2 linked regions of the Struthio camelus genome follow. The main gene of each other region encodes a partner of the protein of the gene in region 2 in a complex. Links are inferred from orthologs where the notes say so. Each region holds a gene or a part of one and is shown on either strand. Other genes may lie near its edges.

What was found.
Region 1: the proteins of CCKBR (region 2) and gastrin/cholecystokinin-like peptide are in contact, whole or in part, in a cryo-EM structure (PDB 7XOW), measured with the Homo sapiens proteins. The link is inferred for Struthio camelus from reciprocal best matches to the Homo sapiens genes CCKBR and GAST. Residues at the interface, in NP_795344.1 of Homo sapiens: Cys107, Pro114, Asn115, Gly118, Thr119, Phe120, Met134, Gly135, Val138, Tyr189, Gln204, Cys205, His207, Leu222, Val349, Tyr350, Ala352, Asn353, Arg356, Pro361, Ala363, His364, Leu367, Ser368, Ile372, His376, Tyr380; in NP_000796.1 of Homo sapiens: Glu85, Ala86, Tyr87, Gly88, Trp89, Met90, Asp91, Phe92.

Annotation. Positions count from the first base shown.
Region 1 is NC_090966.1:7,282,749-7,288,622, forward strand, and holds gastrin/cholecystokinin-like peptide, read left to right. Parts: upstream 1-2,496; 5' UTR 2,497-2,512; intron 2,513-2,948; 5' UTR 2,949-2,950; coding exon 2,951-3,131; intron 3,132-3,209; coding exon 3,210-3,340; 3' UTR 3,341-3,412; downstream 3,413-5,874. Other genes in the region: HAP1 (huntingtin-associated protein 1), read right to left, coding at 4,366-4,726, 5,632-5,734. UniProt on the Homo sapiens protein: Gastrin stimulates the stomach mucosa to produce and secrete hydrochloric acid and the pancreas to secrete its digestive enzymes. It also stimulates smooth muscle contraction and increases blood circulation and water secretion in the stomach and intestine.
Region 2 is NC_090942.1:225,049,093-225,055,772, forward strand, and holds the start of CCKBR (gastrin/cholecystokinin type B receptor), read left to right. Parts: upstream 1-2,215; 5' UTR 2,216-2,251; coding exon 2,252-2,420; intron 2,421-6,298; coding exon 6,299-6,550; intron 6,551-6,624; coding exon 6,625-6,680. UniProt on the Homo sapiens protein: Receptor for gastrin and cholecystokinin. The CCK-B receptors occur throughout the central nervous system where they modulate anxiety, analgesia, arousal, and neuroleptic activity.

The DNA of each region.
Region 1 (5,874 bases), on a different chromosome or scaffold from region 2:
CATCTATGTGTGCATATACATGCACATGCCCTTGCATACACATGTGTATAGGGCCATATGTATTTATACACGTGTGTATACACACACACACACACACACATATATGTATGTAGATTACATATAGAGATAATATTAAAAAAAAAAAAAAAAACCTTAGCATGCATGTACCTATATCTGTTTGTGTACATAGGCACTTTTTTAATAATCCTTCAGTATATCCCCCACACAGAGCGCATCATGTGTACACTGACACACACATATGCATGCATAAATGTAGAAAATACATGGTTATAGCACTACAGACAGAGGCACATCTAGACACACACACACACACACACACACACACACACACACACACACACACACACACACACACACACACACACACACACACACACGAGTTGCCTGTACAGCCCCCCCCCCCCCCCGGCCCTGTGTGCATGTGCACCATACACCTTTAGCTATAGCTATCTATACATGCACCTATAGCTGTATACCATAGCACTCTGTGCTTCTATGTATGTATAGCTGTGTACTATATACCTAGAGATAAAATTGTCCATGTGTGGGTATAGCAATAAACACACAGCCTCTGTGTAGTATAAACCTATAGCTAGCTATATATGTGAATGCATCTTTATACATACAGCTGGGGGGGGTCATACTATATAGCTATCTAAATAAGTGCATATCTATCTGGCTATATAGAGCTATCTAGCTCTATATAAACTCTTTATACCTACAGCTCTGTCTGTAAGTATATCTGTATACCTATAAATATAGCCAGCTCTATGTGTGTAGAGCTTTCCCCATACAGCTGTGTGTGTGTGTGTGTGTGTGTGTGTGTGTGTGTGTGTGTGTGTGTGTGTGTGTGTGTGTGTGTGTGTGTGTGTGTGTGTGTAGCGAGAGAGAGCTATAAAATATTAAAAAAAAAAAAAAACTTCATGCCAACAGCTCTGTGTGTATGTATATCTGTATACTATTACCTATAGATATAGCTATTGCACTATGTGTAGCTCTCTCCCTCCACAGCTCTGTGTGTGTGTGTCTGTGTGGTATATACCAAAAGCTAGCTATATATGTGAATATATCTTTATACACACAGCTGTATGTCTTTATAATACAGCGCTATCTATATATGCATATAGGACATCATACACACAGCACTCTGTGTGCATATATCTGTATATATACCTATAGATATAGCTCTGTGTGTGTGTGTGTGTGTGTGTGTCTCTCCCCCCCCCCCCAAGTGTGTGGGGGTTGTGTGTGCTATACACCTTTAGCTATAGCTGTCTATATATGTGCGGGTGCACAGACACACACACAGACACACACACACAGACACACACAGACACACACAGACACACAGACACACACACACACACACAGACACACACAGACACACACGCACACACACACACACACACATATGAGCGCGCCCCCCCCCCCCATAGCCACTGCACTCTACGTTTCTGTGTAGGTATAGTTGTATTCTATATACCTATAGATGCAGCTAGCTCTATGTGTAGATCTCTCTCCCCCCCACAGCTGTGTGTCTGTTTACTATATACCTACGTGAATGCATGTACGTGAATATATCTTTATACGCACAGCTGTGTGTGCGTTTTTATTATATAGCTATCTGTATATGCTTATAGAATGGCATATACACAGCACTCGTGTGTGTGTGCACGCGCGCGCGCGCGTGTGTGCGTGCGCATGTGTGTGCATGTGTGTGTGTGTGTAGCTTTATACCCACAGCTCTGTGTATCTGGCTATAAGCGTGTGTCTGTGTCTCTGAATATATGTGCATGCATATGTGTCTGCAACTATATGAGTTTGCATATACAGATGTGAGTGTGTTTGTGTGCGTGCGTGCATGCGTGTGTCACTATACACACACACACACACAGAGGTATGTTTCTGTTTGTCTATAGGCACATGTGACTCTGCGTGTGTGCATATAGATATGTGTGTGTGTGTGTGTGTGCACATACAGATGTGTATGTGTCTGCATATACATAAATGTGTGTCTGTATATACATGTGTGCTTGTCTGTCTGTGTGTGTGTGTGTGTGTGTCTGTGTGCATAGTCATACATGTGTGTGCTTTGTATGTACATGTGCATGGCCATGTATAATATGCAGGTGTATGTGTCCGTGTGCATACACGTGTATGTGCATATACACGTGTGTGCTAGTCCCTGTGGCTATGAGTGCACGTCTGTGTGTGTGTACATACACACATATGTGCCTGTGCACACACATGCGTGGGCCTCCGTGCGCGCACACCTGCACGTTTCTATACATGCTCGCGCGTGTCCCTGCGCCTACAGCGATGTGCCACCGTGTCCCCCGCGCTGGAGACACATACGTGTGCAGGCGGGTGCGTGGGGCTGCAGCCCCCCCCCCCCTTCCCCCCGGCACCGGGGGGCGGAGCGGGGCGGGCGGCGGCGGCACCTTTAAAGCGGGGCCGGGGCCGGCGGCGGGGCCGCCCGCGGACGCCGCAGGTGAGCGGGGACCGGGACCGGGGGCAGGACCGGGACCGGGGGCAGGACCGGGACCGGGACCGGGGGCAGGACCGGGACCGGGGGCAGGACCGGGACCGGGGACAGGACCGGGACCGGGACCGGGGGCAGGACCGGGACCGGGACCGGGACCGGGGGCAGGACCGGGACCGGGGGCAGGAACGGGAACGGGACCGGGACCGGGGACAGGACCGGGACCGGGGGCAGGACCGGGACCGGGACCGGGGGCAGGAATGGGACCGGGACCGGGACCGGGGGCAGGACCGGGACCGGGGGCAGGACCGGGACCGGGACCGGGGGCAGGAATGGGACCGGGACCGGGACCGGGGGCAGGACCGGGACCGGGACCGGGGGCAGCGGGCGGGCGCCGGTGGGATGCGGGGTCCCGCTCGCCGGGCTGACGGCCGGTGCCCCGCAGCCATGAAGAGGAGGGTGAGCATCGGCCTCGTGCTGGCCGCCGCCGCCGCCTGCCTGGCCCGGCCCGCGGCCGAGGCGCCCCGCTGGCCCCGGGCTGCGCCGCTGCACCACGACCGCGACCGCCCCGCGCCGCCGCCCGAGCAGCAGCACCTCGTCTCGCTGCTGCTGCCGCAGCTCCTGGCAGGTACCGGCCGGCCCGCCCGCCCTGCCGCCCCGGCGGGGCCCCGGGCGGCGCTGAGCTGTCCCCCCCTTGTCCCCGCAGAGCTGAGCAGCCAGCCAGGCTACCTGCACGGCGACGCGGGCGCCGAGGCCCTGCACGACCACTACTACTACTACCCCGACTGGATGGACTTTGGCCGCCGCAGCGCCGAAGACTCGGCCAGCGGCTCCTAGCCGCTGGGCTGGCCCGCAGAGCACGAGCACGCTCGCTGCATGCTTCGCCCTGCAATAAAGCTTTGGCACTACAGCCCCGCTGCTTGCTATATATATCTATATAGGCTTTTTCCCAGGAAAAGCTGGGGGAGATTGCGTGCCCAGCCTGCCCCAGGTCCACAGGCAGGACGGGGGGAGCAGCAGGGCCAGGGCTGAGTACGCCCAGCCCCAGCGCGGGGCCACCCATCCTGCTGGGAAATCCCAGCCCACCCCAGAGAGCAGAGCCGGCCGGGACTGGCAGGATTCACCCCCCTGAGCCCTGCCGGGAAGCACCAAGCAGGGACCTGGCAGGATTCACCCCCCCGAGCCCCGCCGGGAAGCACCAAGCAGGGACCTGGCAGGATTCACCCCCCCAGCCCCACCGGGAAGCAGCAGGCAGGGACCCGACAGGAAAGGCCGAGCGGCTGCAAACACGGCACACGGGAGCTGCTTCACGGCGGCGTCACCTTTATTGGCCAGGGCTGAGCCTGGGGCGAGGGCTGCGCCGGCAGCGGCAAACCCGCGGGCGGGCGGCAGCCAAGGGGAGAGGAGTGCGGGCCCAAGCAGGGGAGGCTTTCCGTCCTGCTTCTGCTTACTGGCAGAAAAAGTTGTAAAAAGCTCAAAAACTTTCTTTAAGATACAGTCCTGGTGCTGCTCTAGGTCCCAGCCGTGGTGGAAGGCCGTCTCACCCCCCCCCCCCCGAGTCTGGCTGCGGAGCGGGGGCCGCTGCCCCCCACAGCACCGGGAACAGTCCTTATTGCTAGCGGCAGGCTCCCGCAACCAGCCCGCAGCAGCCCCCGCTGCTACGGGGCACAAGCCGGGCTGCTTTCCCTGAGAAAAAGCGCAGGCGCTGGGCTGTGAGGAGCATCCGTGGCCAGCCGCGTCCTCGCAGCCCCGAGCGGCTGCGGGAGCAGAGGCTGGTGCACCGGCCCCGGCCCGTTCCCAGCTGGATGGAGGTGAAGAGGAGGGAGCGGGGGCGCAGGCCACATCCCATCCCGAGCTTGCTGTCACGTCAGACCGTCCCCGGGCCTCCCGTGCACGTAGGACATCTCCCCTCTGGCCACCACTTTGTCCAGCCCCAGGCGCCGCAGCTTCTCCACCAAGTTCAAGCTGAAGATGCTGCTCCGCAGTGGGGGCCGGTCCTGCTGCGGGGAGCCCGGCGCGTGGTCCTGGGGGGGCTGCGCCAGGGCCGACGGGGATGTGACCCCTTGGCTCCAGCTGCCCGGCACCGAGGCGGAGATGCCCCGCGCCTGCAGCAGCAGGACGAGTCCCAGCGAGGGGCCTGGCTGCAGCTGGTGGTGCGACGGCTCCGGCGGGGGGCTCAGCCTCGCAAAGGGCCCACAAGAAGGCACGACTGTGTTATACAGGCTGGAGGGAAGAGAGAGCAAAGGGGGGGTCAGCACAGCCCAGCACCACGGAGGGATGCTGCTGCTGCTGGAGGTGGCCGGGTCCTTGGGCACCCCCAAGCTCACGGTGGAACGGGGCAGCAGTGATATGGGCACATTGAGGGGTGCAGTTGTGGGGGTGCTTCATGCTTGTGCAGTGGGGACAGGCTACAGTCGCTGCCCCGTAGGTGTTGTGCACCTGTGCAACACCTAAGGCCACACAGCAGACTCCCGCTCACCCCGTCCCCTCCCCAAGCCCTCAAGGGCTCATTCAGGCTAAAGCAACGGCACCGGTTAATGAAGGAGCCCTGTTTCCTTGCTCGGCTCAGGTGGTCAGGCAGGTCCGATGCCGTGGGAGATGGTTGGAAAGCAGCTGCGAGCAGCCTGCAGGCGCGAGGGCAAACGGGGAGCCCAGCCCGGCTCCTCTCCCCTGCGCCGGTTAAGGCAGGGAGAGGAGGAGGAAGTGAAATCCGCGTCAGCTCCTGGGAAAGGTAACTGCCTGCCCGCACCAGGAGCGAACTCCACTCTTGCCCCAGCTGGGGGCTGCCTCCTAGTGCAAGTCCATCACCATCCACGCCGAGCGAGTCCCTTCTTCCCATCAAGGTGCTGGGCCCCAAAAGCAGCGGGAGGCTCTCCCTGACCTGCCCCAAGCATCCTCGCCGCAGGGCCGCCCAGCCCACGGGCTGCTGGGGACAACGCTGGGCACAGCTCCAGCAGCGAGGCTCGGGGGGTGCACGTAAGGACAGGGTGGCTCAGACCATCAGGCAGCCCTGGCCCCAGGACGGCTGCTTCCTCCAGCTGCACGGGGAGGGGGATGGCGGCAGAGAGAGGCAGAGGGGTTAGCGGGGACTGGGACGGTGCAGGCTGTGGCGTGACCATGCGCCTTACCTGGGTGTCACCGTGGTGATCTCAGTGGTGGGGTGGAGGATGTGGCAGGTGGTGATGGTGAAGGTAGACGGGGTCTGGGGGAGGTTGTTAACAGAGAGGAACACTGGAAGGGACAGGAGACACTGGGTTATTGGAGCGGGGAGACACAGACACAGAGAGCACCTCTCCGGGCACACGGGACTAGAGCTCGGCAGGGAGTGAGCTGGCACAGGCGGCTGGGACCTGCATGCAACGAGCAGGGAC
Region 2 (6,680 bases):
GTTCTATGTAACATTGACAATAGGTGCTAGGTAACAATGACAACAGCTGGTAACTAACAGTAACAATAGTTGCTGCGTAACTGTTAGAACTTGCTGGGGAACAATAAAGACAGTTGCTACCGGAGAACAACAATAGCTGCAGGAACAGGTCCACGGGCCGGGCAGGGACAGGGGAAGGAGCAGGGGCAGGGACAAGGACAGGGACAGGGACAGGGATAGGGGCAGGGGCAGGGACAGGGCAGGGGCAGGGATAGGAGCAGGGATGGGGATAGGGATGGGGCAGGGATAGGAGCAGGGACAGGAACAGGGATAGGAGAGGGATGGGGCAGGGAGAGGGGCAGGGACAGGGTTAGGGATAGGGGCAGGGTGAGGGAAAGGCAGGACAAAGGCAGGGGCAGGAATAGGGACAAGGATAAGGATGGGGCAGGGCTTGGGGCTGGCGTAAGGGCAGGGATAAGGACACGGACAAGGGCAGGGGCTGGAGGCAGGGCTAAAGGATGGGGATTGGGGCAGAAATGGGGCAGGGAGAGGGACGGAGCAGGGCAGGGACAAGGACAAGGATGGGGCAGGGATGGGGAAGGGACAGGGAGAGGGACAGGGACAGGGATAGGAACAGAGATGGGGCAGGGTAGGGACAGGAACAGGGCTAGAGGCAGGGCTAAAAGATAGGGATTGGGGCAGGGAGGGGGACAGGGATAGACGGGGCAGGGATAGGGGAAGGGGCAGGGATGGGGCAGGGGTGGGGACCGGGCAGGGCTATCGGGGGGGCTCACCCGGGGCACCGGGAGGGCGAGCGGGGCTCCAGCGGGCCGAGCCCGGCTCCGGACCGAGCAACCGCCCTCGGGCTGCTGCGGGCCGCCGGGCCGGGAGAGCCGGTCGCGCCGGGGCTGCTCGGCCCCGGCCCCGGCACCGCCCGCCCCACGGCCGGCGGGCGGGCGGGACACGCGCGGCACCGCCGGGGCTCCAGCCCACGAACGCGCGTGTCCGTGGCCTCGCGGCTGGGAGCGGCCGCAGCCGCTGCCGCGGGGGGGGCGGCGGCACCGCGGGGGGCGGGGGCGGCAGGGGGCCGGGGGCACCGCGGGGGGCGCGGAGGGACCGCGGGGGGCCGGGTGCACCGCTGGGGGGGGCAAGGGGGGCGCGGGGGCGGCGGGGGGGCCGGGGGCACCGCGGGGGGAAAGGGGGGGCAAGGGGGCAAGGGGGCACCGCGGGGGGCGCGGAGGGACCGCGGGGGGCCGGGGGCACCGCGGGGGGCGCGGGCGGCGCTGCCCAGCCGGGTCCGGGAGGCTCCCGCGCCGCCTCCCGCAGCCGCCCCGGCCCGGTGCCGGTGCCGGTGCCGGTGCCGGTCGCCGCTGCATCTGCTCCCCGGACCCGGCAGCGCCGGGACCCTGCGCCGCCGGGTGCCTGCTCCGCGCCGCGCTGCACCCCCGAGCCCCCCCGCGCTCTGCATCGGCATTGTCCCCTCCGCCCCCTGCATCCCCGCAAGTCCCCCCTTACCCCCTTACCGCCCCCCCCAAATGCCCCTGCACCCCCTCTGCCTCTGCAGCATCCCACCGCCCCTCCGTCCCCCCAAATGCCCCCTCCACCCCCGATGCCCCTGCAGCATCCCACCGTCCCCCCTTCCCCCAAATACACCCTCCACCCACACTGCCCTGCATCGTCCTACTGCCCCCCGTCCCCCCAAATGCCCCCTCCACCCCCGATGCCCCTGCAGCATCCCACCGTCCCCTCCTTCACCCCAAACGTCCCCTGCACCCCCGATGCCCCTGCAGCATCCCACCGTCCCCCCTTCCCCCAAATACACCCTCCACCAACACTGCCCCTGCATCGTCCTACTGCCCCCCGTCCCCCCAAACGCCCCCTGCACCCCCGCTGCCCCTGCAGCATCCCACCGCCCCCCGTCCCCCCAAACGCCCCCTCCACCCCCGATGCCCCTGCAGCATCCCACCGCCCCCCGTCCCCCCAAACGCCCCCTGCGCCCCCGCTGCCCCATCCCGCGCGGCCCCTCCACCCCTCGGTCCCCCGGGCCTCCCCCGCCGCCCCCGCCCGCTCCCGCTGCCCGCCCGCTCCCCCGCCCCGGCCGCCGCTGGCGCCGCCCCCGCTCACTCGCTCGGCGGCTCCGGAGCGAGCGGGGCCGCGCGTCCCCGCTGCCGCCGCTGCCGCCGCTGCCGCAGCCGCTGCCGCAGCCGGTGCCGGTGCCGGTGCCGCCGCCCGCGGCAGCGCGATGGGCGCGGGGCGGCCCTGAGGCGGCGCCATGGACCCGCGGCGCCTCAACGACTCGCTGCAGGAGCTGCTCTGCCGCCCCGGCCCCGGCCCCGGCCCCGGCAACGCCACCGGCAACGCCACCGGCGCCGGCAACGCCTGGAACGGCTCCGCCTGCGACCTCCTCCGCAGGGGCCTCCGCGGGCCCCCCGCGCCCAAAGGTGAGCCGGGACGGGGCGGGACGGGACGGGACGGGACGGGACGGGACGGGACGGGACCGGACAGGACCGGACCGGACGGGACCGGACGGGACCGGACAGCCCCCGGCTGGACACGGCTCCCGGCGCTGCGCCCGAGCCTCCCGGTGCGCCCCGTCCGCCTGCCCGGTGCACCCTCCGTGCGCCCCACCGCCTGCCCGGTGCACCCCCCGTGCGCCCCACTGCCTGCCCGGTGCACCCTCCGTGCGCCCCGTCCGCCTGCCCGGTGCACCCCCCGTGCGCCCCACTGCCTGCCCGGTGCACCCCCCGTGCGCCCCGTCCGCCTGCCCGGTGCACCCTCCGTGCGCCCCACCGCCTGCCCGGTGCACCCTCCGTGCGCCCCGTCCGCCTGCCCGGTGCACCCTCTGTGCGCTCCACTGCCTGCCCGGTGCACCCCCCGTGCGCCCCGTCCGCCTGCCCGGTGCACCCCCCTGTGCGCCCCACTGCCTGCCCGGTGCACCCTCCGTGTGCCCTGTCCGTGTGCCCCGTCTGCCTGCCCGGTGCACCCCCCGTGCGCCCCACTGCCTGCCCGGTGCACCCTCCGTGCACCCCGTCTGCCTGCCCGGTGCACCCTTCCGTGCGCCCCATCCGCCTGCCCAGTGCACCCTCCGTGCGCCCCGTCCGCCTGCCCAGTGCACCCCCCGTGCGCCCCGTCCGCCTGCCCGGTGCACCCCCCGTGCGCTCCACTGCCTGCCCGGTGCACCCTCCATGCGCCCCGTCCGCCTGCCTGGTGCACCCTTCCGTGCACCCTGTCCGCCTGCCCGGTGCACCCCCCGTGCGCCCCACTGCCTGCCCGGTGCACCCTCCGTGCGCCCCATCTGCCTGCCCAGTGCACCCCCCGTGCGCCCCGTCCGCCTGCCCAGTGCACCCCACGTGCGTCCCACTGCCTGCCCGGTGCACCCCCCGTGTGCCCCGTCCGCCTGCCCAGTGCACCCTTCCGTGCGCCCCATCCGCCTGCCCAGTGCACCCCCCGTGCGCCCCGTCCGCCTGCCCGGTGCACCCCCCGTGCACCCCACTGCCTGCCCGGTGCACCCCCCGTGCGCCCCGTCCGCCTGCCTGGTGCACCCTCCGTGCGCCCCACCGCCTGCCTGGTGCACCCCCCATGCACCCCGTCCGCCTGCCCGGTGCACCCTCCGTGCGCCCCGTCCGCCTGCCCGGTGCACCCCCCGTGTGCCCCACTGCCTGCCCGGTGCACCCCCCGTGCGCCCCGTCCGCCTGCCCGGTGCACCCCCCGTGTGCCCCACTGCCTGCCCGGTGCACCCCCCGTGCGCCCCACTGCCTGCCCGGTGCACCCCCCTGTGCGCCCCGTCCGCCTGCCCGGTGCACCCCCCGTGCGCCCCACTGCCTGCCCGGTGCACCCCCCGTGCGCCCTGTCCGCCTGCCCGGTGCACCCCCCATGCACCCCGTCCGCCTGCCTGGTGCACCCTTCCGTGCGCCCCGTCCGCCTGCCCGGTGCACCCCCCGTGCGTCCCACTGCCTGCCCGGTGCACCCCCCGTGCGCCCCGTCCGCCTGCCCGGTGCACCCCCCGTGCGCCCCACTGCCTGCCCAGTGCACCCCCCGTGCGCCCCGTCCGCCTGCCCGGTGCACCCCCCCGTGCGCCCCGTCCGCCTGCCCGGTGCACCCCCCATGCACCCCGTCCGCCTGCCTGGTGCACCCTTCCGTGCGCCCCGTCCGCCTGCCCGGTGCACCCCCCGTGCGCCCCGTCCGCCTGCCCGGTGCACCCTTCCGTGCTCCCCCTCCGCCTGCCCAGTGTACCCCCCGTGCGCCCCGTCCGCCTGCCTGGTGCACCCTTCCGTGCACCCCGTCCGCCTGCCCGGTGCACCCCCCGTGCGCTCCACTGCCTGCCCGGTGCACCCCCCTGTGCGCCCCATTGCCTGCCCGGTGCACCCTCCGTGCGCCCCGTCTGCTTGCCTCATGCACCCCCCTGTGCACCCCAGTCTGTGCTCCGTCCACCTGCATGGTGCCCCCTCCTGCACACCGTGCCACACGCTCCACTGCGCACTCTGCCGTGCGTCCCATCCACCTGCCTGGAGCACCCCCCGTGCACCCCACACCTCCCAATGTGCTGCCCACCTGCCTGGTTCACCCCACCATACACCTCCTGTGCACTCTGCTGTGCACCGTGTCCACCCGCCCGGTGCACCCCAGTGCGCCCCCCTGTGTCCTGTCTGCCTCCCCAAAGCAGCTCCGTTCATCCCACCGTGCACACGGTGCACCCCATGCTCCTGCCTCCACGCAGCCCGGAGCATCCCACAGTGCCCCATCCCTGCTGCATCTGGGTCTGGTTTGTCACACCAGCTGGTGCCCACAGCACAGTCCCAGGTCCCAGTCACTGGCCCGGGGGGGCTGCGTGCCCAAGCGGCACCAGACTGCAGGACAGCAGGACCCCCTACCCCGCACGGCACCACCCGGCTCTGCGGCTCCACAGCTCCACGCCTCGGGGCTCTGCGGCTCCACAGCTCGGAGCTCTGCGGCTTGGGGGCTCCACGGCTCGGAGCTCCGCAGCTCCATGGCTCCATGGTTCCACTGCTCGGAGCTCCGCGGCTTGGGGGCTCCACAGCTCCACTGCTCGGAGCTCCGCGGCTTGGGGGCTCCACAGCTCCACTGCTCGGAGCTCCGCGGCTTGGGGGCTCCACAGCTCCACTGCTCGGAGCTCCGCGGCTTGGGGGCTCCACAGCTCCACTGCTCGGAGCTCCGCGGCTTGGGGGCTCCACAGCTCCACTGCTCGGAGCTCCGCGGCTTGGGGGCTCCACAGCTCCACTGCTCGGAGCTCCGCGGCTTGGGGGCTCCACAGCTCCACTGCTCGGAGCTCTGCGGCTTGGGGGCTCCACAGCTCCACTGCTCGGAGCTCTGCGGCTTGGGGGCTCCACAGCTCCACTGCTTGGAGCTCTGCGGCTTGGGGGCTCCAGGGCTCCACTGCTCAGAGCTCTGCGGCTTGGGGGCTCCACAGCTCCACTGCTCGGAGCTCTGCAGCTCCATGGCTCCACGGTTCCACTGCTCGGAGCTCTGCGGCTTGGGGGCTCCACAGCTTCACTGCTCGGAGCTCTGCAGCTTGGGGGCTCCACAGCTCAGAGCTCTGCAGCTCGGGGGCTCCACAGCTGGAAGCTTTGCGGCTCACGGGCTCCATGGCTCCAGGGCTCCACTGCTCAGAGCTCCACAGCTCGGGGGCTCCACAGCTGGAAGCTTCGCAGCTCAGGGGCTCCAGGGCTCCACTGCTCAGAGCTCCACAGCTTGGGGGCTCCACATCTGGGAGCTCCGCAGTTCAGGGGCTCCGCAGCTCCACAGCCTGGGAGCTCTGTGGCTCAGGGACTCCGCAGCTTGGGCGCTCTGTGACCCTGTAGCTCAGGGGCTCCACGGCTCCACAGCTCCATCGCTTGGGGGCTCCACAGCTCGGGGGCACCGAGGTTCTGTGGCTCAGGGGCTCCCCAGCTCCACGGCTCACGGGCTCCGTGGCTCGGGGGCTCCACGGCTCGGGGGCTCTGCAGCTCAGGGGCACCGAGGCTCCCCTGCTCCAGGGCTCCCCAGCTCCATGACTCAGGGGCTCCACAGCTCAGAGGCTCCACGGCTCGGGGGCTCTGCAGCTCAGGGGTTCCTCAGCTCGGGGGCACCACAGCTCCCTGGCTCCGTGGCTCTGCAGGAGAGTCCTGCTGCGCCGGGGGAAGACGCCGTGGGGCATCCTGCTGGAATCCATCACGCCGAAGGGAGCCCAGGCGTCCTGGTGCCCGCTCCCCGCGTGCCTGCCAGGCGCTCGGAGAGCCGGCAGGAGCCCAGGCGCCCCCGGGCAGGCTGCGGGGCGCGCGGGGGCACCCGTGGCGCGCGCGTGACCGCTGCCACCCCGCAGACCTGGACCTGACGGTGCGCGTCCTGCTGTACGCGCTGATCTTTGTGCTGAGCGTGTGCGGGAACGCCCTGGTCGTGGCCGTGCTGCTCCTGAACCGCCGCCTGCGCACCGTCACCAACTCCTTCCTGCTGTCCCTGGCCCTCAGCGACCTCATGCTGGCCCTGTGCTGCATGCCCTTCACCCTCGTCCCCAATCTCATGGGCACCTTCGTCTTCGGAGAGGCCGTCTGCAAGCTCATGGCCTACCTGATGGGTAGGGAGCGGGGGGCGGCGGGGTGGGGGGCGGCGGGAGGGCAGGGCCCCGGCGCTGACCCCGGCCGCCCGCAGGCGTCTCCGTGTCCGTCTCCACCTTCAGCCTGGTGGCCATCGCCATCGAGCGGTAC